4 linked regions of the Lytechinus pictus genome follow. The protein of the gene in region 1 purifies or fractionates together with the protein of each later gene. This does not show direct contact. Links are inferred from orthologs where the notes say so. Each region holds a gene or a part of one and is shown in the gene's direction. Other genes may lie near its edges. The genes, in order: catenin beta, ras GTPase-activating-like protein IQGAP1, enkurin-like and parafibromin-like.

Evidence for each region.
Region 2: the proteins of catenin beta (region 1) and ras GTPase-activating-like protein IQGAP1 purify together in Homo sapiens (affinity purification with western blotting; 3 studies listed by BioGRID and IntAct, with this or other methods). This does not show direct contact. The link is inferred for Lytechinus pictus from reciprocal best matches to the Homo sapiens genes CTNNB1 and IQGAP1.
Region 3: the proteins of catenin beta (region 1) and enkurin-like purify together in Homo sapiens (affinity purification with western blotting; 3 studies listed by BioGRID). This does not show direct contact. The link is inferred for Lytechinus pictus from reciprocal best matches to the Homo sapiens genes CTNNB1 and ENKUR.
Region 4: the proteins of catenin beta (region 1) and parafibromin-like purify together in Homo sapiens (affinity purification with western blotting; 3 studies listed by BioGRID and IntAct, with this or other methods). This does not show direct contact. The link is inferred for Lytechinus pictus from reciprocal best matches to the Homo sapiens genes CTNNB1 and CDC73.

What each region holds. Positions count from the first base shown.
Region 1 is NC_087245.1:36,923,861-36,931,427, reverse strand, and holds the start of catenin beta, read left to right. Parts: upstream 1-4,551; 5' UTR 4,552-4,748; intron 4,749-7,567. UniProt on the Homo sapiens protein: Key downstream component of the canonical Wnt signaling pathway.
Region 2 is NC_087249.1:12,742,725-12,750,433, reverse strand, and holds the start of ras GTPase-activating-like protein IQGAP1, read left to right. Parts: upstream 1-4,693; 5' UTR 4,694-4,754; coding exon 4,755-4,778; intron 4,779-7,709. UniProt on the Homo sapiens protein: Plays a crucial role in regulating the dynamics and assembly of the actin cytoskeleton.
Region 3 is NC_087257.1:8,445,374-8,452,742, reverse strand, and holds the start of enkurin-like, read left to right. Parts: upstream 1-4,361; 5' UTR 4,362-4,583; coding exon 4,584-4,663; intron 4,664-7,248; coding exon 7,249-7,369. UniProt on the Homo sapiens protein: Adapter that functions to localize a calcium-sensitive signal transduction machinery in sperm to a calcium-permeable ion channel.
Region 4 is NC_087259.1:23,518,366-23,525,551, forward strand, and holds the start of parafibromin-like, read left to right. Parts: upstream 1-4,165; 5' UTR 4,166-4,233; coding exon 4,234-4,364; intron 4,365-7,186.

The sequences.
Region 1 (7,567 bases):
AGAGGGGGTGATCAAAATGGTGGATTGTATTAACTGATCATATCAAATGCACATTAATGTCATTATTTATTTAACTTCATCAACTGGGGGGGGGGGGACTCAAATAATTTTTTGATGGGGTGTACCGTACCTCACGAAACTCTGAAATGGGGGTCTAACTAAGCCTAATGTTAGGAATTGACTAAAAGGGTAGAATACGGGGTCTTGGGAACTTGAGATACTGCAAAGTGTGAAAAACAGTCTATGGTCATGGAACGGGATCGCGGCAGGCACTGTGCACTGCAGTGTAGGTACGTTGCACCATAGCGCTTAAAAAAAGGAAAAGTTCCGTCTCGTTCCGTTCGTTCTCCTGTCAAAATTGAAAACAAAATGGCCGATCGATACTGAGAACGAACGCGACAGAGGTGTAACTTTTCCTTTTTTTGAGGGTCCAGTTTGTGCCTTGATGTGCCGGGGCTGGGCTGCTTCTGAACTTAAAGAATAAAGGGGAATCCAGCCTTTTCCATAAAATGTTGTGTTGGGAAGGAGAAAAATAAATCAAACAAAATGGTGAACGTTTGAAAGAAATCCGACAAGCAATAAGAAAATTATAGCTGCTTTAAAACTGAGATCACTAATACTATGTAGATTTCAAATTGGCAACTGGGTAAGTAAATGATGACAAGGGGCAAGGACAACTTTCCCATAGGCCATGTACTTAATTATCAGGGATTTGTGGTTTTCTCCTAAGTACCCATTCCCCTGGGGCAGTAATAAACCCAGGTTGCATATTGTTTCATGTCCTCATAAAAGAAAAATATAATTTGAAATAAAACTTTTGGGGAAAATGACATTTTAGCCAAGTATTGGAGTACATGGAAGAGTAGTCCTTGCCTTACATCACTGTGACATCTCATATGCAGCCAATTTTACAACTTTTTAAATTTTTATAACTTTCTTGTTGTTTGTCCAATGTTCAAACTTTCACCTATCAACTTGTCTGATTTTTCTTTTTTTTATAAAAACAAGTTTTTATTTGGGTTGGATTCCCCTTGAACTTTTGTCATTTGGAGTCTAGAGAATTGAAAATTGGGTCTGAAAAAGGGGGTCATCAAAGGGGCACATCCCCGTACCACCATTATTTGTGAGTGCCCCCTCCCCCCCTCTCGGGCTTCAACCACGCCAAAACCTAGTAGGCCTACCTCACTGATATGTGTACTGTGTAACTTTAGACTCCACTATTCACTAACCCTCCGGCCTCCGCTACACCTGACCTAGCTAGGCTACCCGAACCATTGGGCGATAAATAGAAAAAGGCAACACGTCATGTAAAAAAGAGACATTAAGCATACTCTACAGTGTCTAAACTTACTATCGGACACAGACTCATTCCTTGCCCTTTCTTGTAAACGTCTCAAAATCAGTGATATGAAGCCGGTTCGCAGTACACCACACATATTAATTCACCGTCAAATCCAAAATGGCGAACTCGAATTGCGCACGGCCCGTGCAATAAATTATCAATTATTAGTTGTACCTTTAAAAATTGATTAGTTTTTACACTTGCGTAGGAACAAAAACACTTTAGATTTTTGCTCTGTAGTGGGTCTGCACATATAATGTAAAGATTGGCTTCATGTTAATTGGTTTTGGAGCTGTTGATAATGTTTTTAATTGCTCTTCGACAAGCTTGTGTCCCAGGGTTGGAAATAATTTTTATTTTTAGGGGCCATTTTCCCCCACATTGGAGATGATTGCTGAATTTTTCAAGGCTATTTCTTTCATTTCAAGGGCTACATACATATACTTAGACAAGCAACTATGCTGTAAAAAGCAGTGTGCTGTATTTTATAAAATTGATTTCTTAACTTTCTTAGATTGCTTTGAGCAGATCTTGGGGTGACTTTAGAAAAGACTATCACCCAAACATTCAATTTGGGGAAATTTATGGGCATTTTTTTTTTGCTATCCAGAGAGCGAATCCACCCATCGCCCTGGTGTATTTTCTGTGTTGTCCTGTGCACCAATTGCTTCATAGATCTTCCCTAGCTCTACATGTACATGTAGCTGAGTATGGATTTAAAGATGCCAGTTGTAACCATTTCAAAATGAGTTGGTACAGAATCCTATAAAATGACCACCCAAGTGTCTTTTTGTACTGAATAAAAAATTAGGTGCCAAAGGATTCTTAAGAAATTGTGTAATTGCTGCAAAATAAGAATGACATTTCACCAAATTGTCGGGTCTTTCCATGTGTACTCATCTGTGTTGGCGAACTTCAGTGTGATTATTTTCAGCTTCAATTTCGTGATTTCACAAAGTTCAGCTTATATAAATGTACCAGGAGGCCGTTTCATAAAGCTGTTCGTAAGTTGAGAGGGACTTTAAGAACTACTGGTGAACCTTTCTTACGCACTAAACCATCGCCAATTCATTAAATTTACCATTTACAACAAAAAAAGATCACCAGTCGTTTTTAAAGTCGCTCTTAACTCAGGAACAGCTTTATGAAACACCCACCCGATCTGGGGCCATTTCATAAAGGACTTGCAACTGTTGTAACTTTGCCATAATGGCAACTACCATGGTAACATGGCTCAGCAGCCAATCAGAATCAAAGTTTCCATGGTAGTTGCCATAATGGCAAAGTTACAACAGTTGCAAGTCTTTATGAAACGGGGCCCCAGTACATGTATCTACATGTGTAGGATGATTGATATGGTACATGTACATGTATGATATGGCCTGGTTTTACACTTACTCATGAAATGAGCGTTTTCTGCAACTTCTTTCATTTAGCTTTAAATCTGTTAAAAAGTAGAAAGAAACATCCATATTTCTTAATTTTTCCTGTTGAATGAGGTACATGGATACGTTTGGTTATAATGTCAGTCTCAGAGATGTCTAAAATTATGGCCAACTCGTAAAGGCTTTTTGAGACCTTGATATAGAATAGACGGACATGTACATGTGTCTCGTTGGAAGCACCCACATCTTGTGTCCAACTGTTAATCCATACCCTCTTCAGTTTCTTGTTTCAATTCATTCTTTAAATAAGTGTTTGGTACCGCAAAATCGTAATATAGCCTTCAAAACGGACATACTGAAGCTTTTCGACATGCACGCATCAGAGTAAAATCGCATGAAATGACTAAAACGCTAGAGCAAAACAATATGTAATAGAACCGAAATAGACAATGTACGCTGAATGGCGAGCCGTGATTGGCTGTCAAGGTAAACAATTTAGGCTTAGTACTAGCCGTAAATTTAAATTCATTCTTTGCTGTAGGGGTTAGGCTAACATTAGGTTAGGCCTTTGGTAATGAATATATGGTAAAACTTGAGAAAAAAAAATACCAGTACTTGATCTTGTATGATAACGATATTGAAGTGCCCTTGATCTTTCCTTGGAAAAACTTAAACAAGCAGTTTTTGTTCAACTTGCTGTCATTTCTTTATTTGTGCATCAATCATGTTCATACTTGGTACATGCATGTATGAACCTTGGGTAATACCACATGTGAGCCCATGAGAAAAATGGGGGTCAAAATCAAAGGTCATCTAGTGGTCAAAAGGTTAAACGTTATGATATGTCTATCCTTGTATTTTCAAGTGTTTGTTCAACTTGCTCTCATTTCTTTATTTATGCATCAATCATGTTCATACTTATATGTATAACACATGAACCTTGGGTAACACCACATGTGAGCTTATTAGAATGATGGGGATCATGAGGGTCAAAGGTCATCTAGTGGTCAAAAGGTCAAATGGTACATGTATGTGTATCCTTTAATTTTCAAGATTTTGTTCAACTTTCTTTATTTCTGCATCAATTTTGTTTACACTTGGTACAAATAATAATTGGGTAATAGGGGGGGGGGTAATACCACATGCATTCTAATGAGCATGATAAGCTCAAATGTCATCTAGGGGTCAAAAGATCATATTGCATATTTCATTGATCGCGAAATCGGGTGATACTAGTGAACCACCTTGTTATTTTGTTTCATCGTCAGATTGGGCACATTTTGAATTAAAGGATTAGGAAAGTTTGTCCTCTGTATCAATTACTATATGACACTGGATAGAATCATATTGCTCTTGTCGCATACAATAAGTCATATGTAATTGGAATGCACTTCCGGTAATCTTGTACAACAAGGCAAAGACTAGAGTGAAGATTTTCTCCTTCATGGAAATGGGTAAATGACTTGCTGTGCACCCAATAGGTGAGCAAGCAGAGTAAATGGGTTTTTATAATTGTAGTCTATTATTCAGTCATCTGTTGTTATTTGTTGCATTTTTATTTGTGAATATATAGAATACCGGGAAAATACAATAAACTACATTTAGGTCGGCCTGTAGTGTGCACAGTGGATGTGACTGTATAAAGTGTGAGACCTATAAGATGTAGGTCCACATGTAGAAACTCGAAGCCCTTAAATAATGAACAACTTTATGTCTGAATATTTATTCAATGGAAGACTATGTTTATTGTGGCTTCTCTGTGTGTGGGAGTAGCAGTGGCTTTGTGTGTTTGTATAGCATTGGTATTCATTCCAGTGGAATGCCAAATACAGAGTGTGTGTCATGGGAGATAGGAGGGTGTACAGTATGTACATGGACCTGCTGTTTATCTCAACACCCTTGCCTCCTTCACACACATGCACTATTGCACTGGCAATTGGAGAGGATGCACTTTGTTTGTTTCTGTAGGACTTCCAAGTGCATTTCGCATGAGCATAATGATGCTGAGTGCTGAGATTGATGTGGGTTACAAATGAATTTATATCCTACATAGAGTAAATCCTGTATAGTGATTGGTTCAAGTAGCATCATGTGACCGAATATATTTCAACTATGATGTTGCGTGACGTCAGACCTCGATATATTTTTGGATATACCAATATTCTGACGTCATTATTTCACAAAACTGGATATCTCGGCGCACCGGCTTGCGCGCTCTCTCTCTCCCGGGCGCGCAAGTCCAGCGCGATGCGTCAGCGCAGACACTAATCTGCGTTCCGCTGGGCGCGGTGGCTCGGAAAAAAGTAGGTAATTCAACAGGACTTTGCATGCTCAGCGCATAGATTTTGGTTATAAATTATTAAAAGTAGGATATAAAGCAAATATATCAGGCGTTTCATTCGAAAGCATAGTGGGAATATTAATCCTCGGTTGGACTGGCAAAACTACTATATTTCCCTCGGGGCTTCGCCCCTCGGGAAAAAATAGTAATTGCCAGACCAACCTCGGATAAATAATTCCACTATACTTTCTCAAAGCCCGATATATTTGTTTAATGGATTCATGATCATGCAATATACATATCAGAGTACATGCAGGATTGACTGTTTGCTCTTACTAATAGAGATGCATAAAAAAATGTAGGCCTATGATGCAGTTATGCATTGAATTTTTAAATGGCAGTGTGATTCAATTTTATGTCATTTGTTTTTATCTAGGCCTACATGTACATGTAGGGTCAGTGATTTTCCGTTTCAAAAATGGCCTTGTTCGTTTCAGAAATTCTTACATTCCGTTTCTTTCAGCATGTTTGAAAACGGAAATGCTGTTCCCCCATAGACTTTGTATACATGAAAAAGTGATAATTCCATTTACATAGAACGTCAATACGCATTGAGTAGCGATGTCACAACACTCGTGCTGGTCAAAATTTGTATCTGCCACTGTACTAACGCATTAGAATCTTATCATACCTATACAGGTGCACAAAATATTTTGACAAACACATTTAACATTACCTTTCACATTATTAGCATTATTTTGCAGTTGAATTAAATTTTATTAATATATAATTTGGGGATTTTTTTTGACATCGTTTTGAGCAGTCAATGATTTTCGCCTAAAAGCCATTTTGGATTTCAAGAGATATTGTTCTGTTACCGAACTTAGAGAGCAGCAACATACAGCCGTATTGCTGCCTTCTACATGTATATGTTGGTTATAATCAAACAATGTGCGCATTTATGTGAATGTTTTCGATACGGCCCAGGCCGTCCGGCGGGGGCTGGGGCGAGGGGTATACGTTGGAGTCGAAAACAGTCACGATGTGTGGATTGTGGTGATTGTAGCGAAGTGAGATCGTTTTCAATTTTATGGGGTTTTGTGGCCAGTTAATATTCATATTGTGTTGAGATTTTGGAGTAATTTATTTGCACTGTTCTGTGCATTTTGAGAAAAAATATGTTTTCCATGATTTTCCATTTGAAAAGCCACTTTTTGTTTGAAAAGGTCTTTTCCGTGAATTTGGTTCGTTTTCCGCGATCGCGGTAAATCTCTGTCCCTATCTATTAACATGTAGATGGAGGTCTAATTGTCTTCAACAAAAATGTGATGTACATGAGGCTTACATGTATTCACATACATACATGTTGCTTGTAGGCCTACAGTATCAAATGAAATTCATCATGAGTGGTTAGTGGCAACAAGTACATGTAGGCCTATAGCATTGGCCCTAATAAGAACAACAGATGCAAATTTCAATATTTTCCTGGTTTAGATTTGCATGAAAAAAAATGTTTAAAATATGATTAAGCCTACATGTAAATGAAATACACAAAATGAGAGGTATTTAGCCTTTAGGCTATTATATTCCTTTTTTGTTTCTTTAATGTTGAAGTGAAATTGATGCCCCCCCCCCCTACATGTATACATGTACATGTATGCGCATGAAAAACACAATGCTAAAAAGATGAGAAACATTTGTGGCTTACATTTCAAAATAAGAGACAGTGATAACGAAGTACTGTAAGCATTGTGGGTGAGAAGTTCAAGCCAAACGTCAGCATGGAATATCTAGTATGTGAGTAAGATGACCCTGGGTGGTTTCAGACCGCCTCGAAGTTCGCCAGTTCCAGGTATTCTCTGATCGGGAAATTTACCCCGATCAGAAAATACCAGGTATTTTGGCGGTGTGAAAGCAAACTACGCGTAATATCCCCGAAAGAAAATACCCGATAAATAGTAGGTACTTGGCGAAATTACGAGAACTTTCGCGGGGATTTTTCCAAGGTCGTGGGTATTTTGGCGGTCTGAAAGCAAATTACGGGAACTTTTAGCCCAGCGTGTCGTTGGGTGCGGCGCCGTGCATGGGTTGCTCCTGGGCTAGTGATTTTGAATTTCGCGCCTTGCTGCTTATCAGACCATACTGCGCATGCTCGTAACTTCAGGAACTTATCCCGAAGGGTATGTTTCAGGGCGGTGTGAATGCAGGAATAATTAATGGGTATTTTTCAGCCTAAAAAAGTTCTCGTAATTTAACGGGGATTCTTGTGATCGAGGCGGTTTGAAACCACCTCCTGTCAAATTTTCTCAGATGATCACTAGTACTTGCCCAGACAGTGACATGTACATGTAGTCTGTTTCAATCAAACTTCCATCTTTGTCTGTGTGGAATATGCTAAAATGGGTTGTACATCAGTACACCAGCACGCATTACTGTGGATTTTAATCAGTTTCTTATGAATGTCTAGTTTCTTTTTACAGCTGGGAAGGAGATTGACTCTCTTTGAAATTCTTACTTTAATTTTTATTTAAACTACATGTACATGTACTTTGTAATTCA
Region 2 (7,709 bases), on another chromosome or scaffold:
GTATGTAATGGAATCAAACTTGACCATGAGAAGTTTCTGATGAACTCTTAACAATTAAATTAAATACCATCTTCTCCTTATTGCATTCAAGTTGGGGCAAAAGATATTTCTCTGTTTTCTAATATTTACTTTTTGAGACATAAAGTGTACAGTATGCTCTGCCATGGTTTGTGACCAACTTTTATGCCTAAAGGCCTGACCTGTATGTATACCAACTTTCTTCCAAGGAGGAATTTTTTTTTTTCATTTCGGGGGGGGGGGGGGGGGGGGGGGGCTACCCTTCACAACCTACTGAATAAATTTACAGCATTGGAAAGCTATGACATTGCATTGAATGGAAATTTTCCAGGGCTCTTTTGAGCATTCGGGGGGGGGGGGGGGACTGCCCTGAGCCCCCGCATATTTTTATTCCCTGGTGCCAATTCCTTGGGTGTACAATAAATTCTGATGGTGTGAATTGAGGGCATATACCGAACCACACCAGACATATCATCAGCCATGGCTAGTACTTGTGGTCATTGTTAATTGTTTTTATCTCTCGCTCTAATTTGAAAGGGCAGTGGATAGACCAGAGGGATTAGCTTTTACAAGTGCAGTGAACTTGAGGAAGATTCATTTCATAGATCTATGTGGAGAATCAAAGAGAATGTTTGTTTGAAACATGGATAAGCTTACATGAGATTAACAAACATAGGCAGATAACCTTTATTTCATTCAGCAGTGACAAGTGTTAATTTTGTTCAAAACTTAATTTTATACTATATTTGTAGGTCTTTATGAAAAGAAACATGCGCCCTTTAATGGAGTAATTTTTCATGGAGACCCAATTTTGTTTCTATATGAGGCTGCCCTTACCATGAAATAATGTGATGCCTTCATGATGGACAGACCTGCTTTATAAATGCCTTCTCTTCTGACAAGTTCATGTACATTACCAAAATAAAGGCATTCAGATGAGGTTTTGAATTTTGATCTACCCTTTGGTGATCAATTGCTAGGCTCCACACCAACTTTTTTTTCTTGGTGACCCAATCAATTTCATATTTTTGATGACCCGCAAAGCAAATTTGGTGGCCCTAAACAATAGAAAACAGTACAATTTAGCAAAACTTTGGTAGCCAAAAACTTTGGGCCACCAATTGTGGGCTTTTACAGAAGTTTGGTGGCCCGTCTCTCATTTTTGGTTGCGCCGGGCCACTGCTACATGTAATGTCGAGCCCTGTGACTATTATTTGGTGCAATGATAATAATGATAATAATAATATGTCCATTTATATTGCACATTTATTGTATGCATATACTCAGCTGTGCTTTGATACTTGATATCATATTATTACCCCGGCCTTAGCTGAGAAGCCATTTCGACACTAAAGTGTCAAGGAATAAATCCTACCGAGAACTCATTCACCTTGCCTGGGTCGAGTGCAGCACAATGTGGGTAAATTTCTTGCTGAAGGAAAACACGCCATGGCTGGAATACGAACCCACATGCCTCTGATTGAAAGACGAGAGTCATAACCACTAGACGACGACACCCCCACTTAAATAATTTCTTTCGTTCAGTTTTTCTTGGCAAGGCATAAATTAAATTTTTATACAATCATGGGGTGTAAACCACCCCCCTCCCCGCTACTCGTGCAAGTTTCCCTGGTGATTGTGTGAAAGGAATCTACATGTATTTCATAAATTTGGAGAATAGAGAAGAACACACCAGCGCATAATACAGGAACAAACCAGAAATGGAAAGTCTTATCTGATTTGCAAGTGATTCCTGAGAAAGTTGAACACACCTGACTTCTCAAGTCAGTTACCATGCAACAAACTCACTTCCTGTTGATTCTTTGTCTTCCGCCGAAATGGATGAAAATAGATGTTTCCATGGCAACGGACTACAGAGAAGGTAGTTTGCGTCTTGGTGATTGCACTCCGAGGAGCTGCTTCAGACACTTTCCTTGTTGCCCCATGTGTCCTTTAGGGAGATATGATCTTTGATCACAGGCAAACCGAAGCATCACAACTCTATAACTAACAAATAAATCATGCCTGTTTCAAAATGGTTTTTTAATTCATGCTCTTTTTTTTTAAAGCTCAGCATTTACATGTAGACTAAAAATATATTTGTCACGTTCATTTAGCGCTATTCTCATCCTATATTAAATACAAGCTGGGTGACAAACCGCTGTATGAAATTTTTGGGAAAAGCAATGCCTCGTTTTAATGACCAGATGATCTGTCAAGTGATGTCATGTTCAAATCCCTGGTTTTCATTGTTGGAAATAATGATGGTGATGAAGATGACAATAGTAATAATTAAAATGATGATGATGATAATTCATGATAATGTGAAAATGATAATAATGATAATGATAATAGTAGTAATAATAATATTAATAATAATGATGATAATAATAATGATAATAACAATAATAATAATAATTAATAATAATATTGATAATAATAATAACAACAATAATAATAATAATTAATAATAATGGTAGCAACAACAACAACAATAATGATAATAATGATGAGGAAGGGAGCCTGAGCCAAAAAAAGGGAGAATTATGTAACCTCATTAAAAAGCTTGCCAATTTGGGACTTGTTGGTTTTTTTCCCCAATATTAAAATATATAAAAAAGCAGGTTGTTTTGTTTGTCAATTAAGTTTATTGATATTGTTGGAGGATTATCTTCTACTGCTCGGTCACTCGTTACCCCTCGTTCCCTGTACTTCCCAAAGAGATCTCTAAATATAGTATTTAGTCCCCCAAGGCTGTAAGATTCCATTTTATCAGAAACAATCAGGATCAATTTAGGACTGTTGGATGTCGATAACAAACAAAAGTGGAAGCTGATGCGGCTTTCCTTTGCTCCCAAAGGTTAGAATACTTTTCGGTCCATGGGCCGACGCTTTTTAAATGTTGTTCAGTTGTATAAATAGATGAGATGAAGTTGCATGCTTATTTCTCCTTTGTTATATTTTCCATGACAGTTAAAAGAAATACTCAACATAAAAAATAAAAAGGATGGGAACAGTTGAGAAAAATATATATACCTTGAAACGCATGTAAAGAACTAATTCCACCAGAAGAAAAAGAATAGGTCAAGGATCCTGTGACATATAAATATTAAGCGATTGATCTTGTGGCAGATTTTTGTGATTGATCGTGCACAATAATCAATGCAATAAAACATGGAAATCAGTCCCTGATCAACCGGTATTATTATGGGACCTGGATGGGTGTTTCATGAAGCTGTTGGCAAGTTACGAGAGACTTTTCGTATGACTGGCGAACCTTTCTTACGCTCTAAATATCACCAATGAACATTTAATGGTGAATATCATTTACCCGAAAGCAAGGATCCCCAGTTGTTCTTAAAGTCACTCTCAAGTTACGACCAGCTCTATGAAAGAGCCCCCAGGGCCCCGTCTTACAAAGAGTTACGATTGATCCGATCAATCACAACTATGGACAGCCAGCAAAGTCAACCTATAAAATGCATGTTTGTTTTAAAAAATGGCTAGATATGAATGTGTATCCATAAATTCATTGATTTCTTGATGATTTGGTGTGTTCTCTTTTGTTTACAAAAGACATTGTGCAAATTTCTTGTAGAAAAATTATGGCCCTCATGGATTTCCATAGAGTTACGATTGATTGGATCAATCATAACTGTTTGTGTTTGGTCTATTTCTAGTTTGTCTACAACCAGGTGGGTCTTTCATGAAGCTGTTCGTATGCTAACGAGTGACTTTACGTACAACTGGTGACCCTTTCTTGTGGTAAATGAAATACAGCAGATTTTCATAGGCGTTAATGTAGTTCCTAAGAAAGGATCATCAGTCATTCTCAAAGTCGTTCGTAAACTTATGAACAGTTTAAGAAACCCACACCTGAGGCCCGTAACACAAAACTTGGCAATGATCGTAGAACATTTTTCTACGATTGATTGCGTTGACTACAATGTACAATCAATCGTGAAAATCAAGCGTACGATTATTCACTAATCTTTGTGTTACGGGACCCAGGTCTATACAGCACTCTTTTATTAGGTATTAGTATTATGTGTTCAGAACACAAGTAAGAGATAATAATTTCTAGGATTTTATCTGATAGAAGCATATACAATAATTGATATATATATTTTTTCATTACTACCAAGAAGGCCATATCGTCCTGTCGGTGCAAGAACGCCCTTAGCAAAACATCTCCACACACCCCATTGGTGCAGGATCGCCCTTACGCAATGCCCTAATGCTTGCTACTCAGGGCGTTTTTGCGCGCATGCGATGTACAAAAGTATGGTGTTAATGGTGTTCTTGCACCGACATGACAGTATTTGAATGGAATTCAAGTGTTTTTTTCTGCTGCGGATGTCTATAGAGTGTTTTTTTTTCTTTCACAATCTAAAAAAAAAAGAATATTATTATGCCTTGAAAGTCAATGATCAGGGGAGCGTTTCATGAAAGGACTTGTTAGATTTTTTATCCGACAAGTACTGTTTTATCCGACAGTAACTATGGTAACAGTGCCTCTCAGCCAATCATTATCAAGGAAAGTTGTCAGACCTGACAACTTTTCGGAAGAAAATGTTTATGAAACGCTCCCCGGATAATGTTCCGCTTGTTCCTTTTTCACATGAATTTTCCTATATGTTTACACCTTTTTGTAAGGTTTTTAAATATTTTTATTTTTTTAGGCCAAAGGACTTCATTTTAGACACACGGATAACACAGTGCAGTGGATCAGAGCGATGGAGGTTGTTGGATTACCATCGGTAAATATTTTTAATTCATTTATTATAAAGAGTGAGTAGATTACAAATACTTTCATTTTTCAAGATATATTATTTGATAAAATATTGATGATGATGATGAAAATGATGATGATGATGATGATGATGAAGACGACGATGGTGATGATGATGATGATGAAAATGATGATGATGATGATGATGATGATGAAGATGATGATGATGATGATGATAGTGGTGATGATGGTGATAATGATGGTGATGATGGTGGTTATGATGATGATGATGGTGATGATGAATTGATGATGATGATGGTGATGGTGATTCTGATGCTGATGATGGGGATGGTGATGATGATGGTGATGATGATGATGATGATGATGATGGTGATGATGGTGATAATGGCCACTTGTATATCGCATGTATTCATAATTGGAAGTACATGACACTCAGTTATTACTATTTTGATATTCCCAATTCAATTCAAATAATAAAAAATGAAATACAAGATTAACATTTGAAATAAAACATTAACAAATAAGCAGCTAAGAAGCAGAACAATATAATTCAATCTTGTGCTTGAAAAGGCAAGACATGGCTTTTATTCATGATACCAAGATTATACGCATCCATTGTTGTTAATGATATGTATATGTTTATATCTGTAAAGTGCAGTGTCTTTATCTTTCTGTCGTTACATGGAGAATAACAAATTTTTGCTCTCAAGTGTGCCATTGTTATACGATTCACTTTACTCTGAATGGCATTTCCTTGGTTAAAGAAGTATGCTATTATTATATCCTGCTACATAATAGTCTTCAAGTGTTAATGATCTGAGGTCTAATCGTTTGGGAAAAATAATCAGTTATTAGAAATTCGATGAAGATAATGGTTAAGTTGTTCTTAAATTAGAAATTAATCTAATTCCCAGTGCTGGTTTTTAATTTGAGAAGTTTCAAAACGAAAACAAATACTTGATCACGAATGCACTTTATAATTTATCTGTTCATAGTAAGGAGAGTGCTTTTAAAAAGGGGAACTACATTCAGATTAGGAAAAAATAAATTCAGTTGATGGATGTGTGAGGTACATTGTAATTAGTTTTGGAGAAAGAGGTTACAACTAAACTTTGCATTACTATTGAAAAGTAGACATGGAAGTATTGAAATTTGATATTTTTAAAATAATGTATAAATAAGAAATTTTTGAACTGCGTATCCGGGGGTTGCAAGTTTTGTCTAAAAAACTAGGTAAGACTTGAAAGAAAAAAGTCATGAATCAATTAATTGCAAGCTTTTCACTATGGATTGATCATAAAAATTTTGGGGAATTTAGCCCCCCCCCCCCTCGGGGGTTCAGCTTGTTTGAGCATGGACCTACAATAGGTCCATGGTTTGAGTGAGTAGAATAACTTGCTCCTCCCTACTTTTTTCATTGACTCTGATCAACGCTGTAAATTTGAACTTCTCCTTTGAAGTCTGGGTTTTTGGCAGTGAGCCATTGCCTATTTAATTGCATTTCAGTCTCAACATTCAAACTGGGTTGTAAAAAATTAGTCCGTGAATAAATCACACCCTTACCTGTAATGCTGGGTGTACCTCAGACAAACTAATGCCATATCTGTTGGGGTACATTTATTCTAATCATGATATTATGGCAGATCATACATAGTTGATAATGACCTTCGTAGCTCTTTTGATAGTGTTGAACATTTAAACTGGAACATTAAGAAATGAGGGGGGCCCTTTTGTGCAGTGGGCTTGTTTATGAGGATTTTTTTATAGTCCTTTTCTGGCCATTTTGGTAAGTAAAGTAATCTCAGGCCCCAAGTGTTTTTTTTTTAATAAAGTTGGAAGATGTACATTTCGCATGGTCCATATTCCTGGATTGAACCCTCTACTTTAGGCTACGGTCACACCCCCTCAAATTAGCCTGTTCGGTGAGTTTTTAGCCAATTTCGCCTGGGCACAGAGCGGCGGCCGTCTGGGCACCACTGGTTTTTTTTGGCATCGCTCAGTCGTCGCTAAAGATTATTAAGCACGGAGTTAAAATTCTGGAGGCACCTGTTCTTTTATCACTCACTGCCTTGAATACGCTCGGTGCGCGGGTGGTCGCTGTCTGGGTGCCAACGTAATCGAGCGGTCAACATCGAATGATTTAGGCATTGAACTTGTTGGATCAAAGACTGTTGAAGGTCACTGGCTGGTCTCCGGCCACTGGCCGCTCAGAGATCGGTCGATGATCTCGCGGCGAATTCAAGATCGGCTGGGCGATTACTTAAAAATAGGCCGGTGGCCGGTGGGAGACTACCCGGGAATCAGTGGGTCATCAGCTGATCACTGCTTGGACACCAAACAGAAAAGTTCCCCTGATTTGACCCACATTTGGCCTTGAGTATATAATAGGTATTAACCTACAGCTCGCTAGACTTCTACAAATATCTTGTCTAGATTCCAGCGGTGCCTGAGCAGGCTACTCATTGTTGTGACTGAAGCCTTGGCATAATTATTTTCCATCAATAAATGAGGGAAAATATATAATTTGTAAATTCATAGTAATGTTTACATTTGTACTAGTTTAGTGAGGAGCTTACAAGTACAATATTTTACCAGTATTGATTTGATGAAGCAAATTTTCTACTAATATTTAGTATTTATTTTAATTCGGGTTTGATCAAAAGTTTATTGACTCATACACTCTAAATTCCAAGGATTTAAAAATAAATCTGGATCAGCTGTGAATAGTGATCGGCCAAATATTAGATCTATTTTTAAATCTTGTGGATTTGAATATAGCTAATAGATTTTAATTTCAATGTTTTGAGATTTAAAAGTAAATCCTTAACAGCAAAAGGAATAGATGAGGGCGACGGGCGATTTTGTCCTCATAACTGCTGTAATCGCCCCTAAAATTCCCTTAAAAATGCTTTGGGGCGACCATTCTTTCTAGAGTCAC
Region 3 (7,369 bases), on another chromosome or scaffold:
CAATATACAGAATTAAGATAATAACATGTTAAAATTATACTATTTACATATTAAAAATGAAGAAAAAAAATCAGAATTTACTATTACCAATAAATAAGATATATAGACAATAATAAGATATATACAAGAATATAACGAAGAAGAAGAAGGAGAAGGAAGAGGAGGAACAGAAGAAGAGAGGGGACGAGGAGTAGAAGGAGACGGAAGAAACTGATAACGAAGGGAAATAAATGAGGAGAAGAACAACAAGAAGAGGAGAATAGGAAGAGATAAAAGAAATAGAAAGAATAGAAGAAAGGACATATCGAAGCTTCAATCAAACTATGTAAAATACATAATAATACCTAGTAGAGAAGAGAAAAGAACTACGTCAGTATTCAGGCTAAATCAACCGTACAACATATTATTTGCATCTTCTTTTTGACTCTCAAGTGAAAGATATTCTTTCAATTTCCTCTTAAAATGCAAAAAGTTTCCTATTTCCTTTATATCATTGGGAAGGGAATTCCAATGTTTTATAAGCATTGTAATAAAATGAGTTACCAAACGGGCATTCGCCTTTTTTACGATTGATTCTACTAAAGATGAAAATGAAAGGGAGCTAGTCAACTCAATGCCTAAATACTTTACAGATTCTTTTCTATGAATTATCTTATTGTTGTATGATACTTCAAATTCAAATGAAGTTTTATGATTACTTTTAAAACAAAACAGAATGCTTTCGGTTTTGCCTAAGTGTAACGATAATCTATTATCAGTCATCCAATCGACACATGTAGACAGCTGTTCGCTAAGTTTTTCCTCAACAAATTTTGGATTGGCATTTGAACAAAGTAGTACGCTATCATCTGCATACAATAATAATTTACAGTCAGCTTTTAAACAAATAGACATGTCATTGATATAAGTTGAAAATAGGATTGGGCCTAAAATACTTCCCTGTGGAACTCCACACGTTATAGGCATAATTTTGGAACAAATATCGCGAATAGCCACTACTTGATGTCGATTCGACAAGTAGGATTTGAACCATGCTACAGTAGCCTGGTTAAAACCCATTATTTGTATTTTTTTCAATAAGATGCCGTGATTAACTGTATCAAATGCTTTTTGAAGATCTAGGAGTACAATCCCAACGAATTGTCCCTTAGACATATTTGTTCTCAGATAATCAGTCAAGTGAATAAGGCATGTCTCAGTCGAAAAGTCATGTCGAAAACCTGACTGATATTCGTAAATCATATCATTTTCTTTAAAATATTTTTCGATCTGAACACATACCGCCTTTTCTAGAATTTTGGATACTATGCTTAAAACACTGATAGGTCTATAGTTTTCAACATCAGTTATATCTTTCTTCTTATGAATAGGAGTTACTTTTGCAATTTCCATATCCTCTGGGAAAGTGTTAGTAAAGATAGATAGATTTATTAAGAAATTTGATGGTTTGTACAAACTCTTTGCTCCTTCTTTTAGAAATTGAGCAGGTATCAAATCTAACCCAGTGCTTTTTGATACATGTAATTTACGCAACTCATTAAAATGAATTGATCACTAACAGGTAATAATTCAAATTTATCTTGGCTTATACCTTTTTTTTCATAAAATTTACGAATGTTTTCACTGTCTGCACTGAAAATGTCTTTGCAAGATGGACGTTTATCTACCAACGTAGCTGCGACATTTGTAAAATAGGAATTGAATTCATTGGAAATAGTTATCTTATCATGACATAATTCTCCGTCAATTGAAACGACTAATTCTTGGTCCTTTCTATTTTTCTTTTTTAATCCCAAACTTTTTAGATTCTGCCAAAGTCTTTTAGAATCATTTGTATTTTCTTCTATTTTATTTTGTAGGTATTCTAATTTGGCCTTTTTCACCTCTCTTTGAACCATATTTATTAATTTCTTGTATCTTTTGGAAAGCGTGTCATAATCCTGATCGCTTAGATTTTTCTTCATTTTTTTATACGCCACATTTCTTTCTTGAATAAGAGAAATAATATCTTTAGTCATCCAGTTTTCTGATCTTTGTTTAATTCTAATCCGTTTTTGAGGCGCTATCATATTCAACGTTGAAATAAAAGTATTTTGAAAAACTGACCAAGCCTTATTTACGTCAGTGCATTGGGTTAAATCTGACCAATCAACGGCAGACAGTTTAAGATTGAAAGATTCTTCGCTATATTTTTTCAACGATCTGATATCAGTGGTTCTGTGAACACCTATAGCCAGCCTAATTTTATTTCGTGTACAGAAAGTAAAAGAATGGTCACTTATACCAAGATCAATAACACCAATTTGACTTATTTTTTGTTCGTTATTACAAATCACATGGTCCAATAAAGAAGAACATGTGTGAGTGACACGGGTTGCATCTTTGATGAGTTGGCTAAATCCATGAAGACTCAATAAGTCAGTATATTTTTTAGCCAGAGGAGATTTCTGAAAAAGACAAACATTCATATCGCCTAAAAGTATAATTGAAAGATCGATGTCCGTGTTGAAATATGTTTTGTATACTGACTTCAAAACTTGATATTTTATTCTCTATATCAGGCTTTTGAGAAAGATATGTATTGTTTGAACAGGCAATGCGAGCGCGAAGCGCGAGCGAAAATTTTATATAGTGACATGAAAGACTTTTATTTTTATTTTACAAGTCTTCTCCTCATCTTATTTTATTCACTCGTCCTCCTCCTCTTATTTTTCTTTTCTTTATCATCTCTTTACCCTTCTTTTCCCCTCTTTTTTTCTTTCTTTCCCCCTTCTTTTTTTGCTCCGCCAATAGGGGGATGGGGCCGGGCCTCCTGGATCCGCCTATGAGTTTAAGAAATGTTTTCTTTATGAGGAACAATTTTGCGAATTTTATCTGAGATTTAGATCTAAAAAGAGGGACATTCTGCTCCTTTTGTTTTCATATCTTCCTAAAAGTAAAAAAAATCAATGATGCGAGCCCGGATATTAATATCCCGATCTGAAAAATGTCATTTTAAGCATGCTTTTAAGTAAAGATTATGCTGTGTATCTCAATGAACAATTCAACTGACCTGAAAGGGGGACGTTTCAGAACTGTATTGGAATTCATGAAAGAGATCTTACTGATCAAAATAATATGAGCGCGTATTTATAGCTGCGAGCTGAAGGTAAGATAATCAGCACTTTTTGTAATCATGAAGAGGAGGCATATCTCGCTAAATCAAATTAATTAAAACTCGAAATAGGAGCTGAATAATTTTTAAAAAATTGAGGCCCATGGCGTATATATAGACACCGGATCTTGGTGCACCCCCTTCCCTCCACCAAAATGTTCCACGGATCATGGGGAAACACTAAATAGGAAGGAAAAAGGAAAAATGGAAAGGGTCATAATATTATTATGATATTTGTCAAAATGAATAAAAAATAACATTTTCATTTTCAGGTCAACTTTTTCCCTTGCTCGCTCATTTTTCTTTTTAAACATGTCAAATAGAAATTTTGCCTCATAAGCTTTGTTCTGCCCGGTCAAATATTTTGACTCATTGGGGCCTGCAACCATCGGAAGGATGTAGAAGATAAAAAAAGTTTAGGTTTAACTTGATTTTTATTTGATTTGATTTGATTTATTTATTTATACCAACAATATTCTATTTAAAGGTTATAATGAAACAAATAGCATAAAATTTACACATAATGTACGTAATAAAGAAGGACAAAGCAGAAATGAACGTGAAATGAAAAAAATAGGGGAAAATTGTGAAAATACTATAGGGGGAAGGGAAATGAATAAAGGCAATGATTGTGGGGACAGGGACTCAAAATCTGTTTTATTGCATTTTCACCCCCCCCCCCAAAAAAAAAAAAATAAATAAATAAAAAATAAAAAAAAATATGCTGGAATAAAATAATATGTAAACACCCTTTCAGATGCTCTAATTTAGTATTATTATTATCTTTAACAGAAGCAAACAGATGGGGGCTTGGGGTGCCTGCCCCTCTCAATCTCTCTCCCCCCCCCCAAAAAAAAAAAAGAATTACGACCAAGAAAAAAAAAGAGAAAAGCAAAGAAAAGCAAAGATAAAAAGGTGAAATATTAGGCCTACGTTTTATTTTCTAGATGATGTCCAAATTTAGGTAAAGAAACAATGAAGAAAAATACGAGTACCGCGGTTCATGATAAGTCTGCAAGCACAGCAGGTCTGGAGTAAAGACTTAAACGCCAAATGCTCTGTCTGTGTAGAGCCAGCCACAGGACAAAGTGAATCTAGTCTTACTACTACAGACCCTACATTATGCACCAATTGCGAAAACCAAGGGTCTGTGCTGCAGACTAGCTCATGATGTCGTCTTCCCAATGAGGGCGTTCGCTGTTTAGCCACCGTCGCTCATAGCAACGTGACGTAGGGCTTGACAACGTTATGATCGCTGTATGTGTTTTGTGTGTAGCATAGGTCGTACGTGTATTGCGAATTGCCAGTGCAAAACACGGAATTAACATAAACAGCGAATGCGAAGTCAACAGCAATCCTGCGAGGACAGTGTCGAAAACAGCACATAAAACTCATTTTTGTCACACTTTGCCTATATCTCTGCAGCAAGATGAATACCATGTATGGCCCAGAAGAGAGTATCTATGATCTCATCCCTGGAGAGGAGGTCAAGGAAGTAAAACAAACCCAGTAAGTCGTTCAAACTCAGTAAAAAAATGAGATCTTGACTTGACAGTCGACTCTTGAGAAGATGAGTGTTGTGTATCTTGTATGGGTGGAGTGTGGCATGTCTGATGAAAATGGATACCCCGGTAGTCTTGAGGACTCCATGCCATGATGATGTCTTTTTAAAAAACTTTGACATATACTTCCAATGATGAAGAAGTATATGTCAAAGTTTTTTAAAAAGACATCATCATGGAGTCCTCAAGACTAGAAAATGGAAGTCTTATTTAACTTAAAAAACATTTTTTCTTCAATGTTAAATTCATTGTGATTGTAAGTGCAAGTTGAGGGAGAACGAGAGGGTGAATCTTTGTTTGGTTTCATTAAAAAAAAATCATCCTAACCCTGTCTCGCATGTCACCGCTACGCTAACTTAGTCTTCGTGATGGGGGACCTAACTTTACTTTAGGCCTACGTAAATTTAAGTTACACACTTTGTAAAAAGTTTGGAAAAGAGTTCGGCGCTAGTGTAGTTTCGCACCTCCCCGTTTAATGGTTTTTAAACATGTACAATCTCACCCTAAATAATTCACAACCTAAAATACTTGCATCTGAGCCTCCAAAGTCCAGTAGAAGTTGAATATTTGCCGTTTTGACACTTTTTTTTTTACAAAGTTTTACACCTATTTCGGAATCGCTTGAAGCTCAGCGCTGCACATAAGCAGTCGGTACGCGTACAGTACGTACCACCTAGTGAAGTGCTTCTTCTTCTTCTTCTTATGTTGGTTTGAGTGGCGATTAGTCATATTTGACTATTGTCGCCATTGACTCTATTAATAAAAAATCTCACTTCTCACATAATGATATTATGTGCAAGAAGAGCGAGTTTTTCTATGGTATCTTCAAAAGGATTTTTTTCCCCTCTTTCAGCTTGCACCAAGTATTACGGTAGTGCCAGTGGTTGTGCAGAGTGGTTGATGTTTGTTGTGTGAAGGTGTGTGTGGGGTGTGCGTGTGTGTGCTTGTTTGAATGAAATAAGAAATGTGAAAAATGTGAATACACGTAGATTTAGCGATGAAATAGAAATAATAATGTAGAGCCTTGTTTTGAACTCTTGGTCAGAGAACTTTCCTTCAGTTTACAATTATATGCTATGTTGATTGTATGCTATGTTGATTTCATGCTAGTAGATTACATTTTTTAATTTTTCACACGCCGTACCATCTCCATCCATACCACCTGGGACATGCAATGTACATTTCATCCTCAAAAAAACCACTCTGCACAACCACTACCGTAATACTTGGTGCAAGCTGAAAGAGGGGAAAAATCTTTTTGAAGATACCATAGAAAAACTCGCTCTTCTTGCACGTCTTTCGGATGGTGACGTTAAAGGTCGGTCCCAGACGTAAATAATCACATCTGATTGATACACGTCTGACAAAACTCAAATACACACACACACTTCACTAGGTGGTACCACTGAACTAGAAATACGTATTTCTAGTTCAGTGGGTGGTACGTACTGTACGCGTACCGACTGCTTATGTGCAGCGCTGAGCTTCAAGCGATTCCGAAATAGGTGTAAAACTTTGTAAAAAAAAGTGTCAAAACGGCAAATATTCAACTTCTACTGGACTTTGGAGGCTCAGATGCAAGTATTTTAGGTTGTGAATTATTTAGGGTGAGATTGTACATGTTTGAAAACCATTAAACGGGGAGGTGCGAAACTACACTAGCGCCGTTCCTCTTGCAACAGCAACCCAAAATAACATAAGATTGTTGAGACTTCTGGTTCATTCACTTCCTATTTCTCTATCGTTTTTTTGTTTTTGTTTCTTACCTTACTTAAGCTCACGTTGCGATTCATTGCACTGGCGCAGTCAAGATTCTTCCTGGCTATGCGCTGATAGTGATACCAAAAGGGGTTTTCTAGCGATCATAAGCCGATACTTCATTATTTTAAATTTTTGGGGTGCCTGTCGCAAAGGAACTCTTCCCCAAATGATCTTTCACTAATTTGTGACAAATATTCTACAGATCCTTAACCAAGAAGAAAATACCACAAAACTCGTTAAATCCCACCGTGTTTTTCGAACACCTCTTGATTTTGCTGCCTGAAGTAGAAGGGGTCCTACTCTTAAAGAGTAAAGCTACTTGATTTATCATGCACAAAAATAGTATTTCCTGTGCCCCAATTTCTAAAATATTTTCATATTATAGGAAAATATGAAATTAAAATGAATATGATTTTAAATTCCAAAGAATTTCTCTGCATTTACTTAGTGAGCGGTATAGTCTATAGGAATCATTTGTCACTCAGTTCCACAACACATTTTGCCATTCTTTTGCAAGAAGTTATTAAATATTTGCTCATTTTTTTTAATTTTTGCACACTTAGGGGTCTATAAGAATATTATTGAGCTTTATCAACTAAAAAATGTTTGTAATTTTAAAGAAGTTCATGTTCAATTGTAAACTTGTTTTTTTTAGGTGCACAAAGTGCTATTGATTGATTGATGTAGCATTTTACACAAAAAGTTTCAAAGCGCTGTTATATATAAAAAAAAGAAAAATAACATGAGAATTAATTTTTTTTTGTATTACAGGTACACGTCTAAATTTCGAGGAAATGTGAAGGTCGAAACAAAGTCAAACAAGGCATCCAACAAGACGATGGGACCGGCCAAAGTAGAGCTCAAGAAACCAGAAGAATTCCACAAGAAGCAC
Region 4 (7,186 bases), on another chromosome or scaffold:
GACCCAGAGCATCTTCATTACGACGATGGTTGCATAGGTGGCGAAAAGACGGAATATTTCATTTTCGAATGAATACAAAGGCGATGTCATTATTTCAGAAATCAGAATTAATTAAACGATCAAGGAGTAAAAGACGGCACAGTTGGTATACATGTAAAAATTAAAATTTGATTTTTGTCTCACCTGCATAGCAGAGTGAGACTATAGGCGCCGCTTTTCCGACGGCGACGGCGGCGGCGGCGACGGCGGCGGCGGCGTCAACACCAAATCTTAACCTGAGGTTAAGTTTTTGAAATGACAGCATAACTTAGAAAGTATATGGACCTAGTTCATGAAACTTGGCCATAAGGTTAATCAAGTATTACTGAACATCCTGCCTGAGTTTCATGTCACATGACCAAGGTCAAAGGTCATTTAGGGTCAATGAACTTAGACCATGTTGGGGGAATCAACACCAAATCTTAACCTAAGGTTAAGTTTTTGAAATGACAGCATAACTTAGAAAGTATATGGACCTAGTTCATGAAACTTATACATAAGGTTAATCAAGTATCACTGAACATCCTGCATGAGTTTCACATCACATGACCAAGGTCAAAGGTCATTTAGGGTCAATGAACTTTGGCCGAATTGGGGGTATCTGTTGAATTACCATCATAACTTTGAAAGTTTATGGATCTGATTCATGAAACTTGGACATAATAGTAATCAAGTATTACTAAACATCCTGTGCAAGTTTCAGGTCACATGATCAAGGTCAAAGGTCATTTAGGGTCAATGAACTTTGGCCAAATTGGGGTATTTGTTGAATTACAGCCATAAATTTGAAAGTGTGTTGGTCTAGTTCATAAAACTTGGACATAATAGTAATCAAGTATCACTGAACATCCTGTGCGAGTTTCAGGTCACATGATCAAGGTCAAAGGTCATGTAAGGTCAAAGAACTTTGGCCACGTTGGGGGTATTTGTTGAATTGCCATCATATCTCTATAAGTGTATTGGTCTAGTTCATAAAACGTGGAAATAAGAGTAACCAAGTATCACTGAACATCTTGTGCGAGTTATAGTAGTTTTCAAAATCAGCACTGCTGCTATATTGAATCGCGTGATGCAGGTGAGACGGCCAGAGGCATTCCACTTGTTGTATTATTAGAGAGGTAAAAAATTGGTCGCTGGCTTCGCTCACTCGCTGCTGTTTAGAAAGCCTCCATACGCCTAGTCTTGCCCCTCAAACTTTTGGCTCCTTTGAATTTCAATGATATAAAATAAGTCCAGAACGGCTGATTTCAGATTTTGTTGGATTGCATGATTTCAGATTTTGTTGGATTGCACCTGCACATGTTCAGTGGGGTACCGGTCTCCAGATACTCTCTGGCATGTCGGAAGTGGGTGGGTTAATTTGTGCCCGTTTCTATTTCTATTACTGCTCTTGTATTGTACATATGTTTATTATCATCATGTTTGATTCTTGTTACCTTTGTATTTTTTTCTTATGCCTATTATTGCCATTGTTGTAAGTTGTTATATTTCTTCTATGCCCCCAGGAGGGGCCGTCAAAGAAATAAAATCATTGTCATTGTCATTGTCATTGTCATTGTCATTGTCATTGGCTGTGAAGCAATGACCATTTTGGCAATTGCGACATAAATTCTGTATTAATGTAATACATCTGATTGTAATATGGACCACCTGTCGGTGATTTCTGATTCGCGTTATAGACGAAGTTCTTTGTCTGTATTTAACCGTCCAAATACCCAAAGGGGGTAGATTTTTTGTAATATATAATAAATAGTAGTTGTTTATTCTAGTTATTTACATAAATTTGTACTCGAGTACAAAATGAGTTCGATTTGTTAATATAAATTTGTACTCAAATAAAGAACCAATTCCACTAATTTACATTTTAAGTCTGTTTTTTTTTGTTAACCGTAATGAAAAAGAACTCGGTTTTTTTCGTGAATGTTGATAATATGATATTGTCATAAGTGTACAATTTATTTCCTTGGTAATTCCCTCCTCTTTATAATCGATTATGATGGGGAAATTATTTCCACGTCTCTAGTTTATATACTGATACAATCCAAATTCGGGTTACGTGATAAAATTGTTATCCGCAGACTTTATATATTTTCTAAATTCAAAGTAATAAAGTTGAGACTGATTGCAATTGCTATCAGGAAGGCATCATCATCATCTTCATCACCATTACGATGAGGATGATGATGATGAGCAATATTTTTTTTTACCTCTTTAATGAAGAGAAGACCTAATTGTCTGATTTCTTTGCATAACATCAGTATTCAGAAATTAATACATTTCACCCCTTTCCTTCTTTTCTTTTCCTTGTCTCCATATTTTCTTGGCCGTGAAAATTTGGGGTCAATGGCCCCAAGACCCCCCCCCCCCATCTGTATACGCCGTATCAATTGCAAAATAAAAGTTAGTAGTAGGTTTACTGCTAGATCTCTCACTTTCCCACACTTTTATCATATTACCGGATTTTGCATATAGAAACATTATTTTTAATAATTTCTTCCTCATAATCGATTGTGAAGAGGTTGCGATTGAAACAGGGACGTCACGTCCCTGATTTAAACAATGTGAAAATGTACACTTATTTCATTTCATTTCGTTTATTTCCATTTTCAACAATTAAAGTTTGTTTTGTATATTTTTACATATAAATAACAAAAACATATTTCAAGTATCCCTGTACAAAAATTATATTCAAGATTATTGGAAATGGAGGTGGCTGCTAAAAGGCGGAGCTTGTAGAGTGCAGCCTCCTAATAAATATTCTTGTAGTTACATAGCATATAAAATATTCTTACATTAATATTCGTTATAAATAATAATGAACATTCGATAAAACTACAATCAACCTTTTTTAACTATAAAAAAAAATGGATGTAAATATTTCGAATTTATTTTATATTTGACTACAAATTTAATAAATATTTTATTAGACAATAATAAGAAGCTACTTTCAATAATATGTATACGGACGGGCAATAGACCGACGGACGCCGAAAGTCTCTTTTGGAGGACCAATGTCAGATGTTCTAAACTGAGCAAATGAAAAATTACAAGTTCATCATATTCGTTTGAAATTTCATTGTTGTTATTATCAAATGGCAATTGCAAGCTAAGTCATTATATTCACATTCTATGCGTTTTGCTGAGTGCCGCTTTAGTCATAGATTTTTAATCATTTTTTTTTCAATTGATCTTTTGCAACTTGATGAGCTCCGTCCGTTAAAAGACAAGATTTCCCCCATTGTATTACATTTTTCTTCTTATCTCCTCCTGACCTCGGCATATATGGTGTGAATTATATTTTCGAGTGACAAATTTTCCGATGACATAGTTTTATAAGTGTATCCCGACACATCCACCTGCTTTCTTGGTTGTTACACCTTGTTCGATCAATGTACATATTGCATTTACATTCATTGTTTTATTACTGTTGATTTGTATATATCATATCTGAAATTGGATTGTAAATCGGAAGACAATAAATGTTTGATGGAATTTTTAGGCACGTTGCGTGATGCCTCGTTCTAAAGCTACAGTTTGTTTCCAAAATAATCGATTATGACATTGGATTCCAAAGGTAGGCCTACCCCTTGAATTGAATGAAATTGAATTATTATGTTGTGCTCAGAAGGGGGCAAGTCTGATAATTTGTATCCCGGAATTTGGGTACAAAATTCATGGAGAGATGTCCCCATATCATCACTCATTATCATTATCATCACCACCACCACTGCATACACACTGGCATCATTAATTCTCTCCAGGCCCAGCATCACCATCATCATCACCACCACCACCATCATGCCACCATCTCCAATTCTTCATTATCATCGTCATTAGGTAGGGCCTGTTGGCACCCGCCTGCATCTAGTCTGCAGGTACAGACCCTGATTGAAACTTTGATCAGCAAATGTGTCTCCACGCAAAGACTAGCACCACATACAAAACTTGCTGTTTCAATCCTGAGAGGCCAGTACACAAGGCATGTGTAGGCTGCATATTCAGACCCTTAACTCGAGTGAATGGTTTGCACAGCATGGAGCTGCTTTAAATAATATCGGTCGAATTCAAAGTTTGCGAGTTTGTGCATGGCTGGGCGACACACTTGGAGTTTTGGGCGATTTGTTTTACGTGCCTGAATTTATTGTGACGAGGTACGTTTGAGGAAAGAAAGGTTGGGGAGGCTGAGACGGCGACATGGCTGACGTTTTAAGTTTACTTCGTGTTTATCACTCTCAGAATAAGGTTATAACGGAAAGAAACGATGATGTTATTTTCGGAGAATTTTCATGGCCCAAAGACACAAAAACTAACTACGTTACCTATGGGTAAGTTAACGGCTTTTCCTCCTTTCTGCTCTGCAAATTGGAACAACACGGTTGGTAACACAGCGCGCTGCAGTGTGAAACAACTGCCCTTAATTGCCTTGCCCTTGCATATGATTATGAATGCATATGCCACATGATTTTTATTTTTTAAATTAAAAGTAATGCATGTTTGTACGGCATTATCGTGGTTTATGTCACCAGTCCATTCACTGCCGTTTATTTCGTCAGCGGTGGTGACATCTTTCCACTCCTAATCCTATTGACTTTGTACACAACGAGCGCACATGCACATAGCCAGGCGGCTTCTAGAGTAGGTACGCTACTCTAGCGCGAGAGGGCGCGATTTTCGCGTCATCATTTTCGCGTACGAAAATGGCGACAAGCTGCTTCGGGAGCGGGTGCGAGCAATAACTGCAAGCCCTATTTGAGTCTCCTGTCTAGGATGGTAAACGTATATCAATGGGAATGAAAACGATGACATCATCTTCCCAATGCATTCAGCTATACTGCACGGTTAGCTCTTGCGACGGAGGATCGAGATCGGAACAAAAATTGCACTAAAACAGTCTGTAAGTACAGTTTATGCATCAAATCATCATTATATGTTATTTTCATGGAATTATCAGACATATTACGCTAAAAATACATATGCTACTCGAAAATTGAAGTCGTAAGCTTTCATTTCTTACCTCATTCATGGCAGCATTTCTTGCCACCATTTGCCACGGCCGAACGTTAAACGCCCTTGCTATTTGTTTCGTGGGATTTTTTTTTAAGTTTGGCGACGCGTTTCGCGGGCTAATTCATGGCGGCTGCTAGGGTTTTTGGTTGCCCGCGGTGTGTAGTCCTGCGCATTGGAATTTGTGTAGCAGACCGTCTATCGTGATATGTCTGGTATTTCTTTGATTAAAAAAAACTTTTTCTTTTTTATAAATTAGGAATTGAAAACCAGACACAAATGTAGAAATCAGAAATATATCCCACACTGACACACATTCATTTTGATTGAATAAAATATTGAAAAAAAATGGCAAATGACGCAACAACTTTCTGAATCTTCTCGAAGTACCTAACGTTAATTTTAGCCTTTACTTTAGGTAATTTACTTTAAGTTTAGTCTTGATTTATTATTTGATGATTATGTTCTGTTGAAAATTCATGTAACATGATTTCTTTTGGCCTAATCAAACTTTACATTTTTATTATTTAAAAAATGAATGGCCTAGATCTAATTTAATTCATTATCATTTTAATTTTCTTTTGTTTTCATATTTTATTTTCATTCAGATTAATTTCTTATCTCCATTTGAGCATGGCAATACTTACTGATCTGAAGTCGAGGGGCCCAACAATGAACAGACTTGGGCTGAGCCGTCGAATATCTGTGGTTCCAAGAAAGCGTGATGGAAATGCCGCCTTAAAAAAACCAACCCCACCTCTGCCTCTGGGCTTTGTTCTTGGCGATCCTGCATTCCATTCAGACTGCAACTTTAAGCAGGAATTGTTCTACCAACTACTTAATTATTCACAAATGTGAATTGCAGCTTTTAAATTGACAAGAAAGAAACAATTGATTTATCTCACCCCCCCCCCCCCAACTGTCTTCTAACATTTTCTATCATCCCAAACTAACACTTTTTTTTTCTTGTATGTCTGTTTAAATATTTTTATTTAGACTTTATGTAATTTTTTCATGATTTATTTAAGAAGTATGAGCAAAAAAAACAAAACAATTTGGCACATGCAGTAGAGAAGAGAAGGAACATAGTGTTAAAAAAGGATACACATACAGATCTGAATATTAAAATAAATTTAAAAAAGAAATGACAAATCCACACTGACACATGAAAGTATTCATTTTATTTTTTTCCTTATTGGCATTGGTTACATTAATTAACTCCACATAAAAATATAAATTGAATATGTTAACAGTATTAATGAAGTTGCTCAATAAAATTTAAAATTAGGTATTCTCATTGGAGGTAATGGTTGATACAGATGGGTGGGTGGACCTGCAGCCACTAGCGTACCTATGGGGGGGGGGGCAGACTGCCCCCCCCCCCCGACGAGTCACAACCAATGTAAGGGACATATCCCTGCCCCCCCCTGATGAGCCACCGGTGGCCCCCTCCTTTGAAGTTTAAGACCTTTTTTTTGCTTGTAATTTTTTTTCTGGTACGAAATCCTTTATTTGTGGTTGAAGACTTTTTTGCTTGTCAAATTTTTGGGCGGACGATTTTGCCCCCCCCCCCCTGTGGAAAATCCTAGGTACGCTACTGCCTGCAGCTCTATTGTTTTATTAGATTTTCATTTTTTTATTGCTGGGGGGGGGGGGGTATTATGTAGAGATGAAGCCAAATGATCTTATGAGGCAAGATTCAATGTACAGCTCAATATGATGCATGTAAAGTGATTTATTAAACTTTTGAAATATCAATTAAGAACTGGAATGATGAATGATATGAATATAAGAAATATATTAAATGCATGTACAGTGATTTATTAAACTTTTGAAATATCAATTAAGAACTGGAATGATGAATGTAATGAATATAAGAAATCTATTATATGCTAGTTCATCACAACTTTAGCTGGATCTTGCTGCAGAAAGTGCATCGTGTAGTTCTACAAATATCTCGGGTGAGAGGCAGTTTGGCAGAGCGGATGCAATGCTTCATAGGGCCTCTAACATTTCTGTGGTAAGGTCGAATCCAAACTGATGTTTTCATCGAATGATACAGCCTCCTGGCTACAAAAATTTCCTGTAGATGAAAGAGAAAACAAAATAATGAATGCAATGAAATTGGGGAAAAATGTGAGGC